Oryzias latipes: one gene and its partners. The protein of the gene in region 5 interacts with the protein of the main gene of each other region in a pairwise test. Links are inferred from orthologs where the notes say so. Each region holds a gene or a part of one and is shown on either strand. Other genes may lie near its edges.

Region 1 (3,500 bases), about 13 Mb from region 5:
CTTTGTCTCACGCTGACTACAGCAATAAAAGAGGAGAAAGGAGAGGGAGGACAGAGAGGGGGATAGGAGGATAAAAGCAAAGCTGTAAATCCAGTCACCCCTGCACTGTCTTCTCTTTTCCTGTCTTCGACACTCAAACGCCCCTCGCTAAGAAAGTCTCCCAGCTATTTTCAGAGACATAAGACTCTCCTGTGTTCCCTGAGCAAAATAAATCGAAGTTTTTGTCACCAACAAAGAGTGGGGAATTTATTTCTCAGTGACTTGAACTCAAGCTGAAGCAAATTAGAGAATGAAAGCTAACTGGAAACTCGTGGCATAGAAACGATCTCATTAAATCCTGAAAATATCTAGATTTTATTTCCTGCAGACTTAATAATGAAACGGGTTCTGTTTTTGTATTAAAATTTGATTCCTTCTATAAGATTGTAAAACCGTGAAAAATAGATGACTCTGCAAGTTCATCTAAGGTTCTTTGAGCCTTCTGCAACTGGAGGAAACAATTCCCAACTTTAATAATAAAATAAACAACTGTTCCACAGTTATAATTCTGTTATAATTTTGATCATTTTATTTTAATTTATTTATTTTATTTATTCATTTATTTTTCACTTTATTTTAAAATTATCTATTTTTTTTGTTTACAGCTGGAGCGACTGGAGAGTGAGCTGATGGCAGATAGAGAGTCTCTCCGGAGCGCAGAGACGCTCAGCATGGACCTGATGAAGGAGAAAGCTTTACTAGAGAAGACTCTAGAAACTCTAAGAGAAAACTCTGAGAGACAGGTACAAACACACCTATTTATTCAGAAATTGTAATTCATAGATTATCAAAGTTATGCTCATTATATCAGTACTTTTTAAAAAGTATTTGCCAAATATAGGACACCCTCCACGATGATCCAAAATTCATTTTTTCATAACTGATTATATACAAACATTTGTACTCAAAGCTCAGTGTAATTTATTGAAGTTTGAGTTTAACTGAGAAAAGTCTTGTTATTGATTTGCTTTTGGCTCAGCGTATTATCTAGTGTTTGCTGTCATTAATGTTTTATTGACTGTGAAGCAGTCTGTGGCCCAGAGGCAGCCGCTCACTTTGTGTCTGTGGAGACTTTGTAGCTGTTAGACCCAAATCTGACACCTTTGATTAGTCTAACCATCTGATTTGTTAAATCCGGCTTTGATGAGCTTGAGAGAGAAAGAAAACAGATCTGCCCTCTCGGATTACTTCAGGAGTTGCCATCAGGCTGGTTGTCACCGCATGGAGATCTGAGATAACCTCCTGGTTTATTGTTATGAAGCTGATCTAAAAAAAATCCCTTCTGCTCTCTTTCATTGTGCGTGTTATGAAGTACAAGTAGTCACGTGAATCAGTTTCCTTCAACACGCAGCTGCTTGTTTAAACACAGCTTCAGGTGATGATTTAAACCTCTGCTGTCTGCTCTCCAGCTGAAGGGTTTGGAGCAGGAAAACAAGCACCTGAGCCAGACTATGTCATCCCTGCGTCAGCGCTCCCAGGTCGGAGCGGAGGCCCGGGTCAAGGATGTTGAGAAAGAAAATCGAGTTCTTCATGAGTCAATCTGCGAGACGACAGCCAAACTGAATAAAATAGAGTTTGAAAGGAAGCAGCTACGTGAGTGATATCTAGTCTGTCTGAGGAATACTTTCAGCAATAATTCAAAAACAGTTTTTTTGTTTTGTGAGACTAAGACATTTTTTTATGCAGGTAAGGATCTTGAAATGATGAAAGACAAAGGTGAAAGAGCAGAGGAGCTGGAGATTCAGATCCAGAAACTGGAGAGGGACAACGAGAGCCTTCTAAAAAAAGTTGCCAGCCTTGGAATCACCTGTGAAAAGGTCTGGTTTTTAATATTTCTTTTTCCTGTTTTTGTCATTAGATGTGTGACAGTAATTAAAAAAAAGTTTATAATATAATCATTCAGCAGTCTAAATTATTTGGCTTGAAGATGATTACCGGTACTTGTAGGTATCATCTTTGGAGAAGGAGAACACTGAACTAGAAGCTGAGGGCCGCCGTCTCAAAAAGAAACTGGATGCTCTGAAGAACGTAGCTTTCCAGCTAGAGGCTCTGGAAAAGGAAAACTCTCAGTTGGAACAGGAAAACCTGGAGCTCCGGCGCTCAGCTGAGAGCCTGCGGTCAGCGGGGGCCAAAGCTGCTCAGCTTGAAGCCGAGAACAGGGAGCTGGAAAGCGAGAAGAGCCAGCTGAAGCGCAACTTGGAGCTGCTCAAAGCCTCTTCTAAGAAGACTGAGAGGTTAGAGGTAAGCCAAGCCAGACAAGAGGTGCTTTTGCTGACGGAGTCCTCAGACCTGCTTAAATACAGCTGTGTAAATAACAAAAAGGGGCCTAAAAATAAAGTGTGTCTAATTCATACGTCTAAAGAGATGCTGTGGTCTTCCTGGGTTATGCTTACCAAAATAAGGGTTTATTTTCTCTACTAAACATTGTGAAAAATTTCCATTTAGAAATATTTCCACTGAGGTAGCACTAAACTGCTTCTGGAATATGGGGCCACTAGGGACCAGCACAAGTAGACCATGGAGAACTTTATTTTCTAATCTGGCTGTTCTCCTCCCAGGTGAGCTACCAGGGCCTAGATACGGAGAACCAGCGCCTGCAGAAAGCTCTAGAGAACAGCAGCAAGAAGATCCAGCAGCTGGAGGCTGAACTGCAAGACGTGGAAACGGAGAATCAGACGCTCCAGCGAAACCTGGAGGAACTCAAGATCTCCAGCAAACGACTTGAGCAGCTCGAACAAGAGGTAAGTTTACGTTCAGAAAAGGAAAAAAATGTCTTATTCTTCTGCCTTACGGAAACATGTAGTTTTGCTTGACAACTTGTGTTGTTTTTTTCTTCTGAATGGTTTTATTGTGAGGATAATGAGAGCAGTTTAGTAATTAAAGTTGAGACAGACTAAAAACTGCTTTGATGATCATTTAAAAACAAATCTTAAACAAAAGAAAAAGTTAAGAAGATAATATTTAAGAAGTGTTAGCAGAAGTGGCAAATCAGTTTAACTTCATTTTGATGATTTTACAGCCAATTTTTCCCTGCAGAGATGGATTATCCCAGATTATTTTGGGGTTTTTTGGCTTTTGATTTAAACCTTGCTCACTTTAGCCAAACATCCATGTACAAGCCATTTAGACCATAAGTAATCCCATCCGATGCTGTTTTACCCATCTGTGCTTCATTACATGCCGTCCTTCCCCAGAACAAGAATCTGGAACAGGAAAGCTCCCAGCTGGAGAAAGACAAAAAGCTTCTGGAGAAGGAGAACAAGCGGCTGAGGCAGCAGGCTGAGATCCGGGATTCCAAGTTGGAAGACTGCAACCACAGAATCTCCTCTCTTGAAAAAGAGAATCGAACCATGGGCAAGGAGATGATTTTCTTCAAGGACTCCTGCACAAGAGTCAAAGAGCTGGAGAAAGAGAACAAGGAGCTGGTCAAACTGACCAATATTGATAAGAAGACACTGATG
Region 2 (3,951 bases), on a different chromosome or scaffold from region 5:
ATATATATATATATATATATATATATATATATATATATATATATATATATATATATATATATATATATATATATATACTTTTGTCTTTATTAAACCACATTTTTCAGCCTTAGAAAAAATGTTGTTCGTAAGTTTTTATTTTTAACAGTAAAAAAAATGTAAAAGACAAATAATAAATGTATGATTTTGTAATTTATTTCTGAAATGAATAAACAAGCTAAAATTTCACAAATCAGAAATACTGCCAATTGATCAGATCTTCATTTCATTTGTAGAAAATATTCTACATTTACCGTAATATAAACCCTCTATAACACCATTGCCAGAAAACAAGAGAGAATAAAATACTAATACATTTTAATACTTAAAATATATTTTAATACTGCAAATACTTTTTAGAACTACAAAATAAAGTCCTCTTATCAATATTTCTTTTACATAAGCTTAAGTTGAGACCACAATTTAACTTCATTCCAATCGATAGGAATTTTTTTTTTTTTTTACTTTTTGTGAATCTCCTCACATGCACCTTAGTATTTCTGCTCATGTTCTCACCTTGTGTCTGGATGAGATGAAGGATTTTTGCCGTGACATGTCTGGCCAGTTCAGTATCCCTGAGCATGGCCTCCCCATTCATCCTCTCTATTTGGTCCAGAAGCGTGAGAAGACTGGAGTTACTGGGAACGCTGGAAGAATGAGCATTTAGACACAATTATCTTCATAAGAAGTTATATAATAGCATAGCTAGAGAGGGAATGCACCTCGTGTCCAGAAAAGGACGGATTGCTTTTATTCGATGAGGGGTGTGAGGCCCCCTCATTTTCAGACAGCCCCATAAACACAGGGACTGGAAGGTCAATGAATCAATTGTGTGCAAAAAGAAATGAAGTCTAACTTAAAAGATTTGTTTCTTGTAAACTGACTGCTAAGGTTAAGGTCCCATGGCTTCACTATTTCTGGTTCGGTGACCCATCCTTTGCTAATAATATTAGCTTCCTGACAGTCCAGTGGAAACAGGAGATTACGGGTCAGTTGTTACGACAAGGGCAAGCGCTAGACAGAGAATACAAACTCTGCCAGTACCTAGCTGAGCAGAAAGGATCAAGCCCTTATATAGAGAAAAAGATAGGTCAAAAAAGTGGGTATATCTTTTAATATGCACAAACACTCACACCTCCATGTGCCTGTATGCATCAACTCACCCTTTTTCCGAGGCCATCTTGGGTTTGTTCATTTTCACCAGCTCAAAATGTCATGTTGCCTGTACGAGAAAGACAACACAATCTTTAGCATTCACAAACAAGCCTTGTTAACCTTTTTTTTTTACCCCCCACTTGTTAAAGAAGTTCCAAACCGCACTCCGGCCATAGCCAGACATCTGACTAAGCCTAAACCTGCTGGCAGTAAAGCTTAACTGTCCCAAGCTTTGAATGCAATGATCTATAAATATGCTTCAGATATTTGGTGACCTGTGTGTAATTGGGTATGCAAAAGTAATCTTTTCCTACATTTGAGGTTTCCTGCAAAAAAATTTCTTACAAAGATATATTAACATTTTGGTTGTAGTTATATACCTATAATTTGATGTTGTTACATTGAATGGTTAGGTGATAAAGGCAAAACACAGAGACAAAAGGATATATAAAATATTGTTGTTGTTTTTTTCCTGCAAGTTTCCCATCTGTGCACAGACACAAATTATGTAGCCAGGCTATTTTACAGTATGGAAACTGCACCCGCCAGATGGCTAATGTTGACAGTGCAGGAAAGGAGCTAATCTCACACAAAGAGTGCTTCATGACTGACTTTATAACAATGAGCTCGTCCAAGGTCTCGGATGTCCAGATGAAAACGAGCTATAACTTAAGATCAGGTTTGGAATAGAAAGCATGCATTAATAAACGTCCTGTCATTTTGCCACAAAACAATATCAGTAGTTTATAGTAGTATAGCTATTAAGATTAGAGCAGACAGTCAAAACAAGAGCAACTATCAGGAGAGATAAGATTATGAGGCAGACAACCCAGTTTGTGTCTTCTTTTCATGGCCCTGTTGTGTATAATTTTTGGATACAAATGTCACAAATTTACCATAAATATGTTTAACCTTACAAGAAACGATTCAGACTTTTCAGACGCTTGCTGACTAAGAGGGCAACAGACTACTCATCTAGTAGCACTGGGCAGGTCACCCTTTTATTTGTGTGAGCTGTTGGGGTACAGGTTCAGCTCCAAGATAAGGCCACGCTGATGTACAATCAGTTAGAAAGCTTTTCCAGCACAGATTTGAACTCTAAAGTGGTATCTAGAATTGCAGCTCTTTTTCCACATTCCAAAAATGCATTAAAAACATTCCTGTCCGTTAACTAACTATATGATGCTATTACAAACAAACAAAAAAACTCAGATATCATATGCTTCATTGTTACTATTTTTTTTTTTAATATACATATTATACTTTTAAATCAGATGATCAAGAAAAGGCTAGTGGACACTGCACCTGCTAGACAGTCATTACGGCCGCAGGCTAACGGGTCTTTTAGGCTAAAGCTAAATATAGAGCACAAAGCAACCTTAGCCAAAGAAATGTATCGTCTACGCAATATTGTGCTTAAAAATATCACAACGGAACGAACCTGAATGAAAGGGAAATGCTGTTACGATCAGGGTGGACCCATTCCAAGATAAGTGTTGCAGCTACTGCTTCTAAACATTGCTTGAAACGCCCTGTTGGTAATGTTGTGATGAGTAAACTGTCAGGCTGGCTCGTCATTATCCGGATCTGTGGCGATTTGTAAAGCGCACGAGCAAGAACGGGCTACTTCCGGTAAAGCGCTTCGAACATTTTGTCTAACTTTATTTATACATCGCAACCTTTGCAGAACGCATTTGAGAAAAGACCATTGAAATTACTTTCTCTTTTTTTACTGAAAAATAAAGACTAAGTAGTTAATACAATACACTAATAGAGATATATAGACTGCTCTGATTTCTATGTGTATATTGGTTTGCTAAATGATCTATATTTTATATTTCCATTAGACTACATTTCCCAGACTGACACAACCCTATGACGCATAATGCATGCGCCATTCTCAATGGTCTTCGGAGTGCTCTTCATAAGCCACATAATTTAAGGTATGTGTGTTTACAATAATTTCTTGACTTATTGAAGATACTTCTTGTGTTTTTATTTTTATTGCAATTTAGTAATATATTATGGTATCCACTATTGTTTTTTTAGGAGGTATGTCTTATGTGGTCAACATTAGCTTGTGTTTGCACACGAATGTTAAGCTAACAGATTCATTTATGCTGAACCTAGCTAACAGAGTGTTGTGCCTTTTAACATCTGTCAATCGATTGTGGGTTTTTCCAACTTTTTTTTGGTTTGTTTTTCGTTTTTTTTATAGCCGCACCTAATACCACAGAGGTGTTAATGACAACAGAAAACACGAGTAACGCATTGTTTGTGTTATTAATTTCTGACTGAGTCAGTGCATGATCATCATGATCTGTTTGTCAGTTCTTAGAAGATATTGCTTCTTAACCAACTTACTTTAAGTCATATGAAGTTATTCACTATAATTTTAATGTATATTTATTGCATATTGATTGGCTGATAACAGTGAATTTCACTGGCGTAGTATTGAAACTTAATAAAGCCTCATAAATCAATAAAGTTTATTGATTACCTTTTGTTCTAGTCGCAGTGCATAGAAAATAATAAGTTTAAGGTTCGTCTGCTTGTCAAAAATCCAACTGTTTGCATGTTTATTTAGGGTCTGAATAGTTCTGGTTTTGGGCATCCTATGACCTTTAATAAAAGCTACCTTGGTCAGAAAAAGTCTTCGCCACCAGAAAGTTTTCAAAATAGTTTACAGATTGATTCCTGTCACAACACACACAATGACAAAGATTAAATAACCTTAAAAATCTGTGCAATGGGTAA
Region 3 (3,500 bases), on a different chromosome or scaffold from region 5:
AGTGAAACTGCACTCACTGAGCCTTTTCACATAGATGACATTGACAAATGGGGCTGCAGATTGGAAAATGAGACAAAAGGAAAAACAGTGAATAAAACCCATTATCGTTGACTTTTTTTTCTTTTTGTGAAAGAGTGGAAGTGTGCAGGAAAAGGGTGGGGCTGTCAGCAGAAGATGCAGAAAGACGGACATTACAATTCCTTTCAAGGACGGAGCCGTGCAGCTATCTGACAACTTCAGGAAACAATTTCATCTGGCAAGACACTGCAGGGGCAGTCGTGTCAGTCGGGCCGAGGGGAAGACAATTATGATACACCCCCATTTGAGCAGTATCAAAAGCTATGTTTCAACTTCATAGCAGTCATACCGGAAAAATGAATAACATCAAAGATAAGCAAGTCTATCTGACAACTCATAATAAATGACTTTGTTGGTGCTCAGCTTGGTTAGCCATACATCCTAGGAAGCTGCTCTCTTGTGCTTTTCATTTAAGTAACGGTTTACATACATAGAAGAATGTAGATGAAAAGAACCGGCACCTCCGTGTCTAAATCAGCATTTTCTGTGCTTATTGTGCTAATTTCTCACACCTGCCCCTGGGAAGCTTTTTGATTAGCAGCTCCACTGCTGTTGCTCCACTTGCAGCAGTTTATCTCCATAAATGATTGCTGATAAATGCTCCAGAGGCTGATGCTGAGAGCATCTGAGATTTAAATGCACGACTTAAAGAGCCTCAGTTTGAGATGATGTGCAGGGCTGATCTTTGTTCCTATCATGCGCAGCAGTTTGACAGGATATCCTATTTGTGAACACGTTTCTGAAAATAAAAAGCACGTGTGACATTTAAATGTTTGCTTAAAGCATTTATAGGTGCCACGAGTGTCGTCTGCAGAAGCAAGACTTTATAGGAATTATTTCTACAACCAAACTACATTTTCCTCTAAATCCATTTAAAGCTAATATAAAAGCCCAGCGCGTGGCACTAACTGACACATTCCTTCATTAACTGAGACAGCAGAGTTTATTTTATCCAGCTAGTTGCAGTTGTTTCTATGGCACTGCAGATCCGCCGATTCTGACCTTGGCCTCGTGGATACCATCAGGCGCATATTAAATGTGGCAAAAGTGATCTGAATGTGACCCAGACGCTGCACATTAGTGCTGGTCAGCTCTGCATTAAATGACAAATAGGCAAACACAGGAGATCCAAAACAGCTTTTGTGAGAAATTACTTTTCATAGACAGAATTTGGATCCAGTACCTCTTAGTTTTGTTAGCTGAATTAAATTAAAAAAGCATGCATTATCAGTGTACTGCATGAGCATGTGTACATGAGTGATTTTTCATAGTTTTTGTTTTGTGTTTATAAAATAGGAAAAAGACAGAGGTAGGGATAAAGCTGCAGGCATCAATCATTTTTTCTGTCTCTGTTCTCATCAGGTGGCTTTAAGAACTTTGCAGAAGACAGAGATTAATGCCCAACAGTTCCCTAATGTCAAATCAATTTTAATTCAGCAGTAGCTTTAAGTCGCACCAGTGAAGGCAGCCAGCAGGGCTTCCAGACTCACCATGATGTGGATTTCAAGCAGGTAAACAGCCATTTTTATGCAATCTTGTAGTAACTACGAGTAATAAATTGTAACAATATTTTAGTTTTTCCATGAACATCCCATGTTTGGAAATTTTCTAATTACTGATTAAAATAAAATTTCGTCAGTTGTAGGAATGTTTTCTAAGCATTCTGCAAATATTTCAAGGCACCACAATTTCTTTCTTTTTTCTTTTCTTTTAAGGAATTAGCCTGACCTTTAGCTTAGACAACTCAGTATATGAAAGCATTTTTCTTTTCTTGGACCATTGGTTGTCTACTGAAGTATAGACCCATGGAAATATTGGAGGAAATGACTTCAGGCACCACCGATGGAAATGTATGTAGGACAGGAAGGAAATGGTCTAAAAAAGAATCTAGATTTTGGGGGGAAAGAACATATCAAAGGAGACTTTATTTTGTATTTTCAAAAAATGCACAAAAGTGTAGCCTTCACTTAAAGTATGCGAGAATCAGGACTTAAATTTGTGCGGTTGATGCAGCAGATTAAAATTCTTTTCCTGGTATGCTGTCTGTTATGTTTTTCTGAGTTTTGCTTTCAAGAAAACTGTAATGAGATCATGTATCTGCGTTTATGGAGAAAGTTGAGTGAATCTGACAAAAGACCTTCTAAAAATATGAATGTTGTCTTCTTTTCTTCTTTTTTTTTTAAAATGGGAGCCTTTTTACTTTATGTGAATCATCACAGCTGCTTAAAAATCAGTAGGTGACAGAATCAAGTAAAAAATAAGAAACTTCCAAAAATCCTCCTGATGAGGAAAGTATCATGTACTGATTTAAATTCATCTACAAAGATAAATTAATTGGGTAAAATGGTGCACGAGGTTATGTCTGACCTGCTGGAGAGGTTGAGCAGTTCGTGCTTGTCTGCAACGGTGGACTTGTCTTCCAGCTCCCACATCAGCACGTTGATGAGGTGGGAGTTTTTGATGACGATGGGCACCTCCTCAAACATGTTCTCAAAGCCAATGCTGGCCTTCTTCAAGCTGTAAACACAGAGAGAAAAGGAAAATGAAGCTGATGGTTGTGATCCTAACATGGGTCACCCAGCACTAACAGATTATGAATTCAGATCCTGGATTCTGTTTATCTGTCGGTTAATGTATTTTAATGGATCTTTCATTCTTCTCCATCAACACTGGAAAAATCTGGTTAGACAGCTCAACATAACAGTCCACTTTCAGAGGACGTGTTCCCTTCAAAAACAGAAAATGAGTTGTTTCTTTCCAAGAGGACAGATGGCTTAAATGAAGCAGCTAGAATGAGAACACATGAGTGTCAGTGGTGAAAATGAAAGAAATTAGGTTAAATCAATTAAAAAAAAGATGAAAGTAAAGTTCAGAAAAACACAGGCAGAGTGGTGCAACAGTTAAAGTCCCACTCCAATCATCTTTTGATCTATTGTAAAAGCATTCCCGGTGGTCTTTGAATTATGATTATGCCGTTTTAAGCCAAAATCAAAAAACCTGTGTCATTTTCTAGGAATGTTTCTGCAGAGCTGCAAGAGTTTATTAGAAATTCACCTCTGAGTTGTTCTTTTAGCGTGGACCAACCCCGCCCCCACTTCCTGTCACCTATAACTGAGCTCTCTGTTAACACGCTCTCCTGCAAGCTTGCAGCTCCTCACACTCCCAATCTAAAATTACCAGTGCAACAAAAATGCAGAGAAATATCGGAGCAATCCAGTCATACAGTTTTGAGCCAGATGCCAACTCAGACGAGGAAAATAAAGATGTACATGGATCTAGTCGTCTGCCAGTGGATGCATCAGAAGGGCAGGAAGCTTGTGGCCCGCCCAGTGTATTTTCTATGCAACTAAAACTTTTTCAAACAGCGTTTTTTGTGTCTGTGCCTGATTCCCAAGGATTTAAATAAAAAAATACTCAGAAAT
Region 4 (3,500 bases), on a different chromosome or scaffold from region 5:
TTTTAGAAGTGTTCTCAGTGGTCTTTTAATTAGAATTATGACTGTTTTAGATGAAATTTAAAAAATGTGTCATTTTTTTAGGACATAGTTTCTTTAGAGCATCAGTAATCCGTTACATATCAACCTCTGAGTTGTGGGAGGGACCGTTGGTGTAGAGAAAGCCCACCCCCTTCCCATTACACATCTATTTATATGTTCTCCCACTAGCTTACAGTCCCACACAACCCCAACCTAACATTAGTGGTGCAACAAAAAAGGCAAGCAATATTGGAGTTTTCCAGTCGTACAGTTGGAGCAGATAGTAGCTCAGACGAGGAAAACAAGGATCTGTCTGTCAACAAGCATATGCATCAGAATGGAGCAGAGCAGAGAGCTTGCGGCCTGCTGCAGTAGCTTCTATGTCACACCCAATGACATTTTTGTGCCTGCTTCTGATTCACAACGATTTGAATAAACAAATATTTAGACATGAAATTTTAAGCTTAATTTTCTTTACATATGTCCTCCATCATGTCAATCTTTAATTTAATACTTTTTTAGCCACAAGTCCCAAACAACACATTTGTGGCCCTTTTTACTAAGTAAGTTAAATCCCTGAAAATTTATACACAAGAGAAAAACTAACAACAACAACTGTAGTTTTAAATTATTCAGAGTGGTTATTTTTATGTCAGGGGATGCTAAAAAGGTCCATACAGTTTACTAGCTAACATGAGAGAAACTTTTTTTGTTTTGAGTGCACCTTACCCAGCGGGACTGGTCACTAATGAGGTTGATGAACAAAGGCGACAATTTCGATCGTCGGACTTCTGGAGAAGTGGAATTGGAAACCATCATGAAGCACTCGGCGCAAGCTTTCCTTATGCCCCAAAGGCTGTCTGAACATAGCTCGAAGAACTTGGGCATCTATATTTAGGACAAAAGCAGAACCCCCATCAGAGGACAAAGTAAGAAGCAACTTCCTAATGGAAACCTCAAACATGAATTGACCTTTTAGCAGCTTTAAAAAACAAGTGTTAAAGATGATTTATTAAAACATCTCTGATAATAAAAAAATAAATAAAACAGAAAGCTATTATGTTAAAATCAAATGGGGAAAAAAAAAGTTATTTAGTCTCACCAGTAGTTTTTCTGTTGCTTCCTGTCCAACAATGGAACAAAACTCACCAAAGTTAGCCGCACACACCTGTAACACACCAGAAAAAACAAAAAAAAAGAATTTAGAAAACAATGCAGATACTGAAAAGTGTGTTGTGGTGAAGACTTACCTTCCGCACTTGAAAGAGTCTACCATCACTGCACAGGTCACAAAAACGGGGCAGCAACAGATGCTCCACTGTGTCTTTGCTCAACATAGTTACAACTTTACACAAGATCTGTAACAACGAAATATGCAGATGATGTTGTGCCATCACAGCTTCAGACTGTGCTGCACCTAAACACTGAAACCAGCACAAATGCTCTTACAGCAGAGAGCACTGTAAGCACATGAAACTAGAACCAGCGATGAATGCATTTTGGATCTTTTAATAGTGAATACATGGCAATGATAATTAAACAACAAAGTAAGAAATCTGAGCATCACATATATGAATAGCTGTGGGGATTCTTACAGCAACTGCCTCAATTTTGTAGTCATCATCACTGGCGGGTTCTGTCAGGTCAAGAAGAACTGGACAAACTTTGGTCTCCATGTCGGCTTTGGAGATTAGGCCCTGCTCCAACAGAACAAGCAGGGCTGCCTGACTTGTTTTACGCACCTGAAAAACATGAAGGAAGCAAGTTCATGCAAATAAAAGAGAGAAAAATATTCAACTGCTCCAAAAGATCATTTATTTCAACTATAAAAAAATACAAAACAGACTACCGATAATCCCTACCTGGTTATTTGGATCAGTTAGATATCGGACCACAATAGGTACCAAATATCTTGAAAAAGCGGCTGGGAAGTTTGGCCGACTCTCGTGCAAAAACATGGCGATGTTAGGAACCTGCTCCATTAGCTCAGCTCGCACTGTGGGCTCTGAGAACACATGACAGTTCATGAGGAAAGGGAACACGAGCAAACCCCAGCTAAAGACCATCACAAGAACGTAAAAGCATCTACCTCCATCCTCTGACATTCTGGCAACAGTCTCCATAACACTGATAAAGTCATTTTCATTCTCACTGAACTCTCGAAGCACATCAAGTAGGCCGCGAGCCACGATTTGCCTAGAAAGCAAAAGCTTGAAGTTAATGAAACGCCTGCCAATGCATACAAGCCACTAATTTAAAAAGCACTGACAGAACTGTCAAGAACATCAAGTATGTTAACTGAAAAATGACCAGCCCAAAAAAAACGAAAGAAACTGTTAGTATGGAGTAGGGCTGCACGATATGAGGAAAACTTGCAATATGCAATATTAGTGATTAATATTGCAATGACGATCTATATGAACATGTAGCAAAATAACCAAAAACATCATTTTCATTTCACTGCAACAGTTTAAAAATTGCATTCCAAATGACCCACATCTACATCGTTCTACAAACGAACATTTAACATGATAGAACTCCATCCGATTGGTCTATGATGTAAAGGAGTCCATTCGATTGGTCAAATACAAAAAGGGATTTGTTTGTTTCGTGAAATACTTCAAGCATCCATAAGATTGTTTTAGCATATTTAATGTAACCATTTATTGCGATTTTTGCCGCCTTTTGCGATATGCATATTGCACAGCTTGATATTGCGATAACGACAAATATGCGATACATTGTGCAGGCCTAGTATGGAGCCTGGCGGAGTGTAAATGTCTGTGGAACTGCAGTCAACTCTGCAGAACTCATTACAAACTATGCTAGCATGACAACCGTGCAATCTGATGACTGTAAGACAAGTTCAGACATTAGGCGATAAAACGAAACAGACCAACATTACAAAAAATACGTTTGAAAAAAGTAAGATATTAACATATTGATAACATACTTCATAATACAACTAACCATTTAAGTCAATACAATTTACATTTACAGATAAATAGTTGACAAGACATCAATAAACCAATCAATATCATATATTATTTGAGATTTAAAATGTAAAGACAGTTGTTTTCTACCAAAATTTGTAGAACTAATAATCTGTCTGGTCCTTTTTAATTTTACTTTAAAAATAAACTTCCGTAATTGTTGCTAAATCAAAGCAAAAAGATCTTTCGGCTACCGGTAATTGTTGCTGAGCAACAACTTCTTTGTTGCCAAGACTTCCAAGGTGTGACACGATTCTTTCAACATGAATCACCAACAGGACATGTCAGCAACACAGCAGGTAGAAAATTAATGTCAAGTTTTTATCTATCTATGGTTTCATTTATCATTTACATAAGGAAGAAAAAAATGTTAGCTTTGGTCAAATGTACATTTATGTCATTTATCTTTCTCAAAACACATTGGTACTGTGGAATCCATCATCAACAGTTCAGAGGATGTCAATCAATTCCTCTATTACAAACCAGCCA
Region 5 (3,500 bases):
AAACAAAAACCATTTAGAGACTGATGTTTGGCTGGAAGTGGATCATGACAGCGCTCCGGATCAAAGTGTTGCTCTGACCCAGTCACAGTCCTGACCTGACCCGGAGTGACACGTGGCCTCAGACGACCCGTTCAAACAAACGCCTGCAAGCCTCAGTGAGGTTGGTTCAAAAACCGTTTTTAGCTGCAGGTCTTTTATCATATGTAACATGTTTGGATTGTGCCATGTTGTTAAATAACGCAGTAGAGCCCAAAGATCACGAGTGTTAAACAGATGAATGTTTGAATCTTGACGGTCCTTTGACAGCTGGGATTTCTGTCATAATCGCTCTGCAAACACTTCCTTCCACTCCGACAACTTTAATGGGAAAATCTATAAACACACGCAATGGTGAAATAATGGCATGCAAGCAAAACGTTCCTCATAAAACGCTTGATTCAGAGGGTTAAAACGTTGTGTTTGGCGTTCACCTGCGTCGTAGTCGTCGTCCAGAACGGCTTTCTGCTGGAGCCTCTGCAGCTTCAACATCATGGACTCGATCTGAGGCGGAGAGAAGAGACGGAGACATCAGCCCACAGGACGCCGCCCACAGGGAACGGGACAAGTACAATGACCGTCATTCTGTCAGAAAGTTCTGCTGCTTTTGGAGATTTTAACTTATGAACATAACTTTATGCTCTGCTCCATTCTCTTTTTTTTTAAATCAAAAGTGTGATTTTTTTTTTAACTTTCTTCCAGTTTTTAACACAGATTTTGAAAATAACTTAAATGTGTTTAATTAATGACAAATGGTCCAAACCTTTAATTTTATAAACGTTTGTGTTTTATTTTGAAAGCCAGACCATGACCTTTGTTGCTCATCATTCCATTTCCTGTCGGGCTTAGCTTTGAACAAGATATTTAAGGTGGTTGTTTCTAAATGTTGTCATGACCTTCACATCCATCTGACCTGAGCCATCACGGACCGAAAGATTCAAAACTTTAACTATCTGCGTCCCACAGCCGTTCTGGACTGAAGGACCAGATTGTTTCTGCAATTTTTCCTATTTACTGCATCTTTGAAGAAAAGTTTTCGCTGAGCTGAACAAAACTATATGACATACGATACAAACATATCAGGAATGTGGGCGTGGCTAACAAAATACCTCTGTTGCCAAGGAAACCCAAAAATTTACTTTTAGCGATCCTTCTAAAATGCACATCGACCTGTTCCTCCCCCCCGGACGATCAAATAACTAAATGGTTGCTATGGAGATGAAACAAATAGAAAAGCCGCCATTTTTGAAAAAAAGTGCTTTTTTCTTCTTCTCACATGCAAGTTTGACTAGGCTGGCAGAGGCATGAAAGGAGAGGGAGGGGCTTGTAGCAGCCACTCAGCCAATGAGGGAGGGCTAAACCATACTACACCACTCGCGGCTTTAAATGTAATTGCTTTTTCTCTTTAGCGCACTTTAGCGCCATGATTTATTTGATTTAATGATCTGAAACAGTCTACAGAACATGAGTTCTCCCTCAGCAATGACAGCACTTTAAAGTGAATGTGTTTGAAGTCTCTGCCCCCCTCAAGAGGATCCGCTATGCCCACCTTTGTGTAGGCGCGGTTGTTTCGGAGGCAGGCCTGCAGCACGCCCTCGTACTTCTTCACCACGCCGTCCCAGCCCGACTCCAAGCCCGCTGTGGCGCTCTCGTAACCGGAGGTGAAAGAGGAGGCTGAGGCCGTGTCTGAATCCACCGACAGCGAGGAGGTGACCTCCACGTCCAGAGGACGGGGCTCGCAGTCCAGAAGGTGGGAGGTCTCCTCTTTACCGTAACACTGACTTTCCCGCCAGAGCCTCCCTCCTGACGGCAGGTCCTCCTTCTGTGCGTGGCCGGGTGAAGAGTGGACAGGAAGCGAGAGCTTTAAGAAGTTCTGCTGGGAGTCAGGTTTGGGTTGTGGTCCTTCGGGGGCTTTGGTAGGTGGTTCTGGTTCCTGTAGTGGTGCAGCTGAAGAACCGGTCCTCTGACTGGAGCTGAGCGATTGCTGAATGAAACTGAAACTGGACGTGAAAGAGTCTTCTGCTGAGGTCTGGGGAGCCGGCCTCAGCCTTAAGCTGAGCTCATCATGAGGCTCTGAGGTCAGACCCAGATGGTTGGATGTTGCTGGAGCAGGATGGATGTCTGCAGCCGGGCCGAGGACGCCCTCACTCCTCAAACCCGTTGGTTTATTAACCATTAAAGCAGGAGCTGGACTCAGTCTTTGAGCTGGAGGGCCATGGGTGACGGCGGTGCTGCATCCACAGTTTCCATTCCCAAAGCAGCCGCTTATCGCCTCTTCCTCCTCCTCCTCCTCCTCCTCCTCTTCCTCCTCGGTACCTGCAGAGCTCAGCAGCCTGGACTGCTCTCCTCTCATGTAGCCTGGCTTTCGGTGATGCCTCTTTCGCCCAGAGCTGCCAGCTGTCGCCAACGCTCTGCCACCTGTTGATACAGAGATTAGGCGTTAAGCTCCGCGACAGGAGGAAGATGAAGAGTGAGCTCACGGGCGGGAAACGCTGGATCTGCAATGAAAGGAGAGTTTAATAAAAGACAGTAAGAAAAAAGCATTTCAGTCAAGTAATAGCAAATTTCTTCAAGAAGCTGGAACAAACAAGCAGCCATCACCTCCCAACTCCTTGAGCGTCATCGGGAAGCTTCACGGGGGAAAAAATGTTGGTTTTAAAGTTTGTGTTAGCGTGGCGAGGTCACAAATTTGGCGTTCCCCTGTTGATCGCATATTTTTTACCGAAATATTCTAAAGATTTTAGACAAATGGTCATTGGCTAAAGCTGAACGAAACAATATTTAATACCTTACGAATATATGAGGAATGTGGGCGTGGTTAACCAAAAACTTCAGTTGCCAAGGAAATCCGAAAAAGTACTTTTGCTGATACTTCAAAAAATATTACACAGACCTGTTTGTCAACCCTAGGCGACCAAAAACGTAAATGGTTGCTACGGAGATAAAACTAACAGATAAGCCGCCATTTTGAAAGAAAACGCGAATTTGTCCCATGCAGCTCTGACCAGGGTGGTGGAGGCAAAAGGGGGAGATTGAGGGGCGTACAGCAACCGTTCAGCCAGTGAGGGTGGGTCAAAGGGGGTAATAGGGGGCGGCGGGGGCAGGTAACAGGCAAACAACATCACTCCCACCTTTAATATTTTGTTTACACCTTCTTTTTCTTCCGGTGGAAACATTTTGACCTATTGATAAATTCTAATTTTACCCCACAAATCTCCTTACATATTTTTTTCAGAATGTCAGTCGGCATTGTTCTATTTAGTCTACAGTCATGGACACAAATTTTAGTTTTCTCAGAGTTAATAGAATTCCAAGCACTTCATACATTTCAAAGGCTTTTATGGACAATTCCATGACATTTATGCAAAGAGTCAGTATTTGCAGTCTTGGCCCTTCTTTTCAGGACCTCTGTACTCCCACTGGGCATGCTGTCAATCAACTTCTGGCCCAAATCCTGACTGATA
Region 6 (3,500 bases), on a different chromosome or scaffold from region 5:
AAACTAGCAGGAAATTAAAGGGTGAGATCATCATACAAGAGCCTCTGTAGATGTTCTCCACATTTAAAAAAAGAATATTATTAGTCAGTTTAGCTTACACGTCTGAAAATGCAAAAAGAAGAAAGTGATTTACTTTATTAACATCAAATTTTCCACTTTGCTCCCCTCTGGTGTCATTTCAGGATATTTTAGCTTTTAACAAACATTAAACTCTAGCTTCTCCTTTGCAGCCGAGCAGCTTGTGTTGTGCAATTGTCATGTCATTCTAGCAAATACCAGGTGCACTGAACTCCTGTGGTGCAGCATGAGTCTCAAGACACGAGGAGTGAAGACAAAACACATCTGCAGTGGGAAGAACCTTTTGTTTCACATACTTTGAATGCAACTTCAACTTTTAGGATGTAACTCTGGATGCATGAAGTCATAAAAACTACTCAGTTGGAATTATTAGGTCATCAGAAGCTTTCTTTTTTTAAGGTAATGGGTCCCTGACAGTTTACAACTCTCTTCATGGGAAAGAAAATCTCTGTAGAAACTTTATCTGACTTTAAATTGTGAGTAGGTTTGTAGTTTGAAAGAAAACCAGCAAGTGTTTTTGATAAACAGACCTAAGCAAAAGTCATTTATTTTAACTTAATTTGAGAGTTTATCTAAATGTAACCAAATCAAAGCTTGATTGTCAAATATTCTTTGAACAAGATCCTTGACTGGAAAATTTGCATGAAGTGTCTGCAATAAAATGAATCTTGCAGGAAAAATGCTGGAGTTCAGCTGAAAGAGCATTAGGGAAAATGTTTAGATCTGACAGCAGGTTCTATGGATAAACTCCTTTGTTTGAGTCATCCATATGTTTCTAAATCATAGCTAAGCGGTTTGGGATTTTTTTTCCACTGAGCAGAGCAGGTCATAGGATGAGTGCAGTGTGATTTGAATTAGCAGTGAGCATCCAGTGAGACTTTGTTTCCGTTCAGCGGAACTAAGAGTGATCTGGAAGATGCTCAAAAATGTGCACTTACTCCTTCACTGTCTGTTTCTTTTTTGACTAACACTTGAAGGAATTTATGTCACAAAGTCCCACCACACAAGACAGTCATTGTCTTTTTGTCAAACATGCTAAATCCTATTTCATTGTATTAGTTTTTCCAGTGAATATGCTTGGATGTACAGTTCCAGTTGAAATAAAAAAGAGCTAAATGAGAGTCGAGTGTGCAAAAATGCAGGATGTAAGAGATTCTTTAGCCCTCTAAGGAAACAAAAGCTCTGCAGTACATACCGAATTGTGAGTCTTGGCAGTGATTGTACGAACAGAGTCTGTGTCCCAGATGATCAGGTCGGCATCGGAGCCCACAGCAATCCGACCCTTGCGAGGGTACAGATTCAGGATCTTGGCGGCATTGGTGCTGGTGATGGCCACAAACATGTTTTCATCCATTTTACCTGTGGTCTAGAAGCAGAACAAGACTATTTAAAAGATTAGTACTCACAAGTAAAAAGAAAACTCAAAAACATTTCCCTATTAATATTTATTAATGCTTCAGCTAAAATAGTAACAGATGGAGGGATCAGTGGAGAAGAGAGAACAACAAAGTCACCAACGTACATTTGCAGACAGTTTATTCAGGGGACAAAAATTACTGCAAACTATAAAAGAGACGTTCTGCAAAACATCCCAAAATATATATCTCCCAAAATAACACCATCAATGCACCACCATGAGAAACTGTCTGTATTTGACATTCTAGATTTCTCTCTGTTACCAAGACAAGACTTGCTGCAAAGGAGAAATACTGCCAATACAATTCATCCTGTAATTATTCATGTCCCTGAGAGACAGAGTCTGGAAGTTCATTTTTATTCATCCAGAAAGTTGTTTTTTCCCCTGGCAATAGTTTACATTTAAACAAAAAGGAACATCTCCAGATTTTACTGGGGGTATGAACAATTTTCAGCTTGACTGTATATTCATGATTGATTTATTTTCTATTAAGTTATTTTAAGTTTCATTTTTGTGTTAAATTTTAAGTTCATAGTCTAGGTCGACAGTGACAACAAAACAACCTTCCACTTGCCTCTGGTGGAAGGTTGGCGCCAGTGTTCGGCAGCGGTGCCGCCATCAGTGTGTGAATGTGTGTGTGACTAAGTGAATGGGTTTGTGACTGTAAAGCACTTTGGGCCTTCGAGGAAGGTAGAAAGTGTTATACAAGTATTACCATTTACAAATAAAGGCATGTATATCTATCTATTAAAGACCTACTCTGATGTTTTTTGGTGTTTTTAACATGTTCTTGTGGCATTTTTCTAATGATGGAGGACATAGAAACCCAATTTTAAGCTTAAAATTCTTATGAGTATTTCTTTATTCAAATCCTTGTTAATCAGGAGCAGATGAAAACAAGCTGTTTGAAGAAAAACAGTAGCAGTGATGCAGGTGCTACAGTCGGTGGGCCACTGCCTTTCTAATGTATCCACTTGTAGACAAAAAGATCTATGTCCGTCTTTGTTTTCCTCATCCGAGCTGGCATCAGGCTCAAAACGGTTGATAGTGCCGATCTTGCTCGCTATTTTTGTTGCACTGGTAATGTTAGGCTGGGATTGTGAGGGGCTGTAAGCTAGTGAGGGAAACAGAAAGCTCAGTAATGGGGAGGAGAAGGGGGTGGGGGTTGCTCCAGACCAGCAGTCGCACCCAGAATTTAAATTTCTAATGAACCATGTCCTAGAAAACAGATTTTTTTTTATTTTGCCAAAAAACAGCATAATCGTAATTTAAAAGACCAAATGATGATTTGCATGGGACTTTAAGTCATCAGTATAGAAAAGTTTAAAAAACTGAAAAGCGATAACCCGACTACCCCTCACCACTGCTTTGTCCCAGATGAGAGCCATCCTTTCCTCCACACCATTAACACCTTCAGGGATCTGAGTGAAGTCATCTTTGCCAATGGCCTTCTGGGCCACGCTGAAGGTGCAGTGAGCGCTTCCAGTCACGCTCAGGTCTCCGCTGTAGGAAAACGTCAAAGAAAGATGGAGTTAGTGTAACGCTGAAAAGTTTGTGTATGTGAATAAAACTCTGCCAACATGAGGGAATGTGTTTATTTCATTCAGCTGGAGAAGTCAAGCAGAAAAGAACAGAAAGAAGCTGGAGCAAGCAGCCTGCCAAAGTTTGTTCTTCCAGGACAAAACATTATGAATGTTTCCTGAATGACACAATAACTCTATTTCCAGATGAAGAGCGCGAACAGAATTTTTTTGCAAATCAGTAAATCACAATGCATTTCCATGAGTCCTATTAAAAAAAAGAAATAGAATTAAAATTTGTGCAAAAAGTTGAGATATAAATATTTTAATAATATATGTTATGCTAAGTCAAAACAATTCTGATAGAAGTTTTCTTTACTTATGAGGTTATGTCTACAGTTCTGCATGGAAGTATATTTCCCCATAACATAAAGTTTAGCAATAATGCAAGTATCAAACTGAAATCAATTGCATCATCAACTTAA
Region 7 (3,500 bases), on a different chromosome or scaffold from region 5:
TGTTGTCAGACTCGCAAGGAGAGGGAAATCCAGCAGCAGATGCTGGTCCAGGATGAGGAGACGGTGGAGCTCAGGGAGACGTTCACGTCTCTACAACAGGAAGTTGAGGCAAAGACCAAAAAGCTCAAGAAGGTGGGTCTACTAGCTTTCAAAATAAGTGTGAAGAAACTGGCTCTGCTAGATTGGACTGTATTGATAAAATTATTAGGTCCGTACCCTGTCAATTTCTTGAACACAGAAATGAATGAATAATGACTCAGAGACAATACTTAGCTTCAGTGAAGATTTACTCCGCACAAAAGGCACAGATTTGTACAAAGGGTTACAGACAGATGAACAGGTTACTGCATCAAAGTCCGAACAACGGAGCTCAAAGTCTGAACAAAGAAAACAGGAAAATGGGCTTGGTATATAAGTCCTGCATTTGCATATTCAGAACATCATCCGATGGATGGTGGTGTGAAAAATCCACCCCCAGTTGCAGGCTAGATGTTCGAAGGTCAGAGAGCTTAAAGTGTCAGATCTCTCTGAGGTTATCACAGACATTTAGCAGAGCGCACACACCAGCACACACAAAGATGGAAGGGGAGGATGCTGAAGGAATGTTACGAGACAATAGTCTTGATTGTGCCTTGTAATATAATTTTGAGATGATAATACATAGTGAATCAAAGTTTAAACCATCAGTGTAATAAAAAGTAAAAGTGAGTTTCTAACTATTCTGTTTCTAATTATTCCTAACAATAAAGTAACCTATTTTTTAGAAAAATTACATTCACATTAGATGACAATATTTACATTTACTTTAAATGACCAGTTTCACATAAATTGAACCAAAATGAAGAAGCAGTGTGTGGAAAAGTATTTACTTCCTATGGCTGAGTCCTTGGCTTTATCTCCATTTCATATTATTTTGGAAAAGTTGTGATCTTCGTTTACATAAAGAGTATTTATTCCTAGCAGTGTGAAAAAAGACTAAAATACTGAATGAAAGACCCACTCAGTTGAAAATTGTGTTTTTGGTGTTTATCTTGTTCTTGTGGCATTTTTCTCATGATGGAGGAGATATTTAAAGATAATTAGGCCTAAAATAGCATTTGTGAGTATTTCTTTGTTCAAATCTTGTGAATAAGGATCAGATATTTTCAGAACCAGAATCAGCAGACAACAAAATACTGTTTGAATAAGATAGTATTTGCTACGTAGACAATACTCTCGGCGGGCCACAAAAAAAGAATAAATAGATCCACGTGCGTCTTTGTTTTTATGGTCTGTAAAGCTATGATGAAAATTACAGGCCTCTCCCATCTTTTTAAGTGGGAGAACTTGCACAATCGGTGACTGACTAAATACTTTTTTTCCCCACTGTATGGCAACATAAAAAGTAAAAATAGGGGAAAAAACAGTGAACAAGATCTTTTTCAAAAAGTTATATATCTGCTTTGTTTACTTATGGTCAGCTTAAAATAGTTTGTACAAGAGGCAGCAATGCTAAAATACTAATTTAATACTGAAATACTAATTTAATGCTCAGTTCGCTGGAGAAACTTGAAGATATTTAGAAGACAAAATTAAGTGACCACCACACAAAGCATTATAACAGAAAATGTACGTCTTTCACAGAACATTTTAGGATCATCTATGAAAACTCAACTTTGACAAAACTGTTTTAAAAAATCTAATTACACAATGTTTATTTAAAATACCTAAGTAAAATTCAAAATTTGCTTTAAAAACTTTAAGAGATTTGTAAAGTAGAAGACTAAGGCAAATACTGTATCAAAGTCTGAAAATTTACCATGATAAATTTGTGTTCTAACATATTTCAGACAAAAAAATCTAAATTACACATCTGTTTGACTCCTTTGAGGTCATATGTGTGAGTCCAACAGATGTGTACACATCCTTTCACTCGACTCAGTGACTCGCGTTGTGGTTTGTTTACATGAAAATCTCTATTTTCAGTGTTTTTGTGTTTAAAATATTTGCAGAATGTCGTCCACATTGCAATAAAATGCATCTTCACTGCAGTTTCGGGGTTAAAAGTCAGGCTGAGCGGCTGATTTTCAGGCTGAAGTTATACAGAACAATGTGGGGGCTAAGGGGTGCAGCAGAGAAGTAGAGGAATGAACCAAATTGAGGGTGGGGGGCGGACTTGGCGTGCTCCCATTGGCTGGCCAGCTCTCCAGATACCAGTGCCCCCAGTGCTGTTGCTATGGGCAACCAAGCTGCTGCAATCTGGAGACGAGTGCACCAGCAGATACCCCAAACTGAGAAGCTTGGCTCCTCTCAGCCGCTGACTGTTTGTGTTCCTGCAGCTGTACTCCAAGCTGCAGTGCATCAAGGCGGAAATCAAGGACATGAACGACGAGCATGTGGGGAGCCGGCAGGAGCTGGAGCAGACTCAAAACGAGCTGACCAGAGAGCTCAAGTTCAAGTGAGTCACAACAGCGTCCCGAGGAAGTGCAGGCACCAGCACGTCTCAGCTTCTCGGTTTATCTTCTTCCACCTGCTCTCTCACCTCACACACAGCAGTGTAAATCTGTTCTGTGCAGAGCAGGGGTCCCCAAATCCAGGCCTTGAGGGCCGGTGTCCTGTTTTCCAGAATCACTGCCCTATTTGCTGCTGATTACCTGGATCAGGGGTGTTTAGCCAACAAGGAGCTTCAGTAGCCGGTGGGTTAGAAAACATGTCGGACACTGGCCTGGATTTGGGGGACCCCTGGTGTGGAGGATATTTCTAAACATGAATCCCTCCCAACAACTGCATACCACTGAATGAACTCCTTTTGGTATCTACAGAGGACATTTTGGGCTTTTCAATCATACCAAACGTGAAGGGGTGGGGCTATGGGCTGCCTTTTGTAAAGTGACAAAGTCAGATATTAACAGCAAAACATTCATTCATCTCTTAAACCTGTTTTGTCCCTTTCGGGGTCCCGTAGCCGCTGGAGCCACTCTTGGGCGAAGGCAGGGGACAGTCCACATAAATCACACACTCACACCTAGGAACAATTTAGGGTAATCAATGAACCCCGGAGAAAACCAACGCATGCAGGGAGAGAAACATGCAACGTCCCCCATTCTGTTTCAGGTCCCCCTGGCGGGACTTGAACCGGGGACATTCTTGCTGTGAGGCAAGAGTGCTAACCAGCAATATTTTTGGTTATTTAGCCTGTTTTAGAAGAAAAAAACCAGGTTTCATTTTTCCGATACATATTTTCACATTTTCATTCACGTATTTATAAATGTTACATTCATCAACTAACATTTAGTACCGTAAGCAAACTCAATATTTAGTTTATTCTATTCTTCATAATTCATCTGTTTGTCTCTATGCTGCTCTTTGGTTTGATATTTTTAGGCTGCTGTCTCGCCACATTAAAGCTGCATCATGTCTGCACAGGTATCTCATCATTGAGAATTTTATTCCTCCGGAGGAGAAGAATAAGATCATGAACAGGCTGACCTTCGACCCAGAGGAGGATCAGTGGAATTTCC

What was found.
Region 1: the proteins of disc1 (region 5) and ccdc88a interact in a two-hybrid assay, tested with the Homo sapiens proteins (2 studies listed by BioGRID and IntAct). The link is inferred for Oryzias latipes from reciprocal best matches to the Homo sapiens genes DISC1 and CCDC88A.
Region 2: the proteins of disc1 (region 5) and agtpbp1 interact in a two-hybrid assay, tested with the Homo sapiens proteins (2 studies listed by BioGRID and IntAct). The link is inferred for Oryzias latipes from reciprocal best matches to the Homo sapiens genes DISC1 and AGTPBP1.
Region 3: the proteins of disc1 (region 5) and eif3h interact in binary tests that used the Homo sapiens proteins (3 or more experiments, as listed by UniProt). The link is inferred for Oryzias latipes from reciprocal best matches to the Homo sapiens genes DISC1 and EIF3H.
Region 4: the proteins of disc1 (region 5) and ppp4r1 interact in a two-hybrid assay, tested with the Homo sapiens proteins (2 studies listed by BioGRID and IntAct). The link is inferred for Oryzias latipes from reciprocal best matches to the Homo sapiens genes DISC1 and PPP4R1.
Region 6: the proteins of disc1 (region 5) and dihydropyrimidinase-related protein 3 interact in a two-hybrid assay, tested with the Homo sapiens proteins (2 studies listed by BioGRID and IntAct). The link is inferred for Oryzias latipes from reciprocal best matches to the Homo sapiens genes DISC1 and DPYSL3.
Region 7: the proteins of disc1 (region 5) and kinesin-like protein KIF3C interact in binary tests that used the Homo sapiens proteins (3 or more experiments, as listed by UniProt). The link is inferred for Oryzias latipes from reciprocal best matches to the Homo sapiens genes DISC1 and KIF3C.

Annotation. Positions count from the first base shown.
Region 1 is NC_019873.2:15,842,598-15,846,097, reverse strand, and holds part of ccdc88a (girdin), read left to right. Parts: intron 1-644; coding exon 645-782; intron 783-1,448; coding exon 1,449-1,632; intron 1,633-1,725; coding exon 1,726-1,856; intron 1,857-1,986; coding exon 1,987-2,280; intron 2,281-2,597; coding exon 2,598-2,780; intron 2,781-3,233; coding exon 3,234-3,500. UniProt on the Homo sapiens protein: Bifunctional modulator of guanine nucleotide-binding proteins (G proteins). Acts as a non-receptor guanine nucleotide exchange factor which binds to and activates guanine nucleotide-binding protein G(i) alpha subunits.
Region 2 is NC_019867.2:10,962,960-10,966,910, forward strand, and holds the start of agtpbp1 (cytosolic carboxypeptidase 1), read right to left. Parts: upstream 2,801-3,951; 5' UTR 2,636-2,800; intron 1,262-2,635; 5' UTR 1,235-1,261; coding exon 1,203-1,234; intron 687-1,202; coding exon 556-686; intron 1-555. UniProt on the Homo sapiens protein: Metallocarboxypeptidase that mediates protein deglutamylation of tubulin and non-tubulin target proteins.
Region 3 is NC_019874.2:13,853,647-13,857,146, forward strand, and holds part of eif3h (eukaryotic translation initiation factor 3 subunit H), read right to left. Parts: intron 2,596-3,500; coding exon 2,446-2,595; intron 1-2,445.
Region 4 is NC_019863.2:13,845,844-13,849,343, reverse strand, and holds part of ppp4r1 (serine/threonine-protein phosphatase 4 regulatory subunit 1), read right to left. Parts: intron 2,215-3,500; coding exon 2,108-2,214; intron 2,024-2,107; coding exon 1,881-2,023; intron 1,761-1,880; coding exon 1,614-1,760; intron 1,377-1,613; coding exon 1,269-1,376; intron 1,187-1,268; coding exon 1,121-1,186; intron 907-1,120; coding exon 748-906; intron 1-747. UniProt on the Homo sapiens protein: Regulatory subunit of serine/threonine-protein phosphatase 4. May play a role in regulation of cell division in renal glomeruli. The PPP4C-PPP4R1 PP4 complex may play a role in dephosphorylation and regulation of HDAC3.
Region 5 is NC_019873.2:28,418,275-28,421,774, reverse strand, and holds part of disc1 (disrupted in schizophrenia 1 protein), read right to left. Parts: intron 2,455-3,500; coding exon 1,586-2,454; intron 541-1,585; coding exon 471-540; intron 1-470. UniProt on the Homo sapiens protein: Involved in the regulation of multiple aspects of embryonic and adult neurogenesis. Required for neural progenitor proliferation in the ventrical/subventrical zone during embryonic brain development and in the adult dentate gyrus of the hippocampus.
Region 6 is NC_019872.2:5,631,665-5,635,164, reverse strand, and holds part of dihydropyrimidinase-related protein 3, read right to left. Parts: intron 2,999-3,500; coding exon 2,857-2,998; intron 1,445-2,856; coding exon 1,274-1,444; intron 1-1,273.
Region 7 is NC_019882.2:17,758,973-17,762,472, forward strand, and holds part of kinesin-like protein KIF3C, read left to right. Parts: intron 1-9; coding exon 10-132; intron 133-2,318; coding exon 2,319-2,437; intron 2,438-3,405; coding exon 3,406-3,500.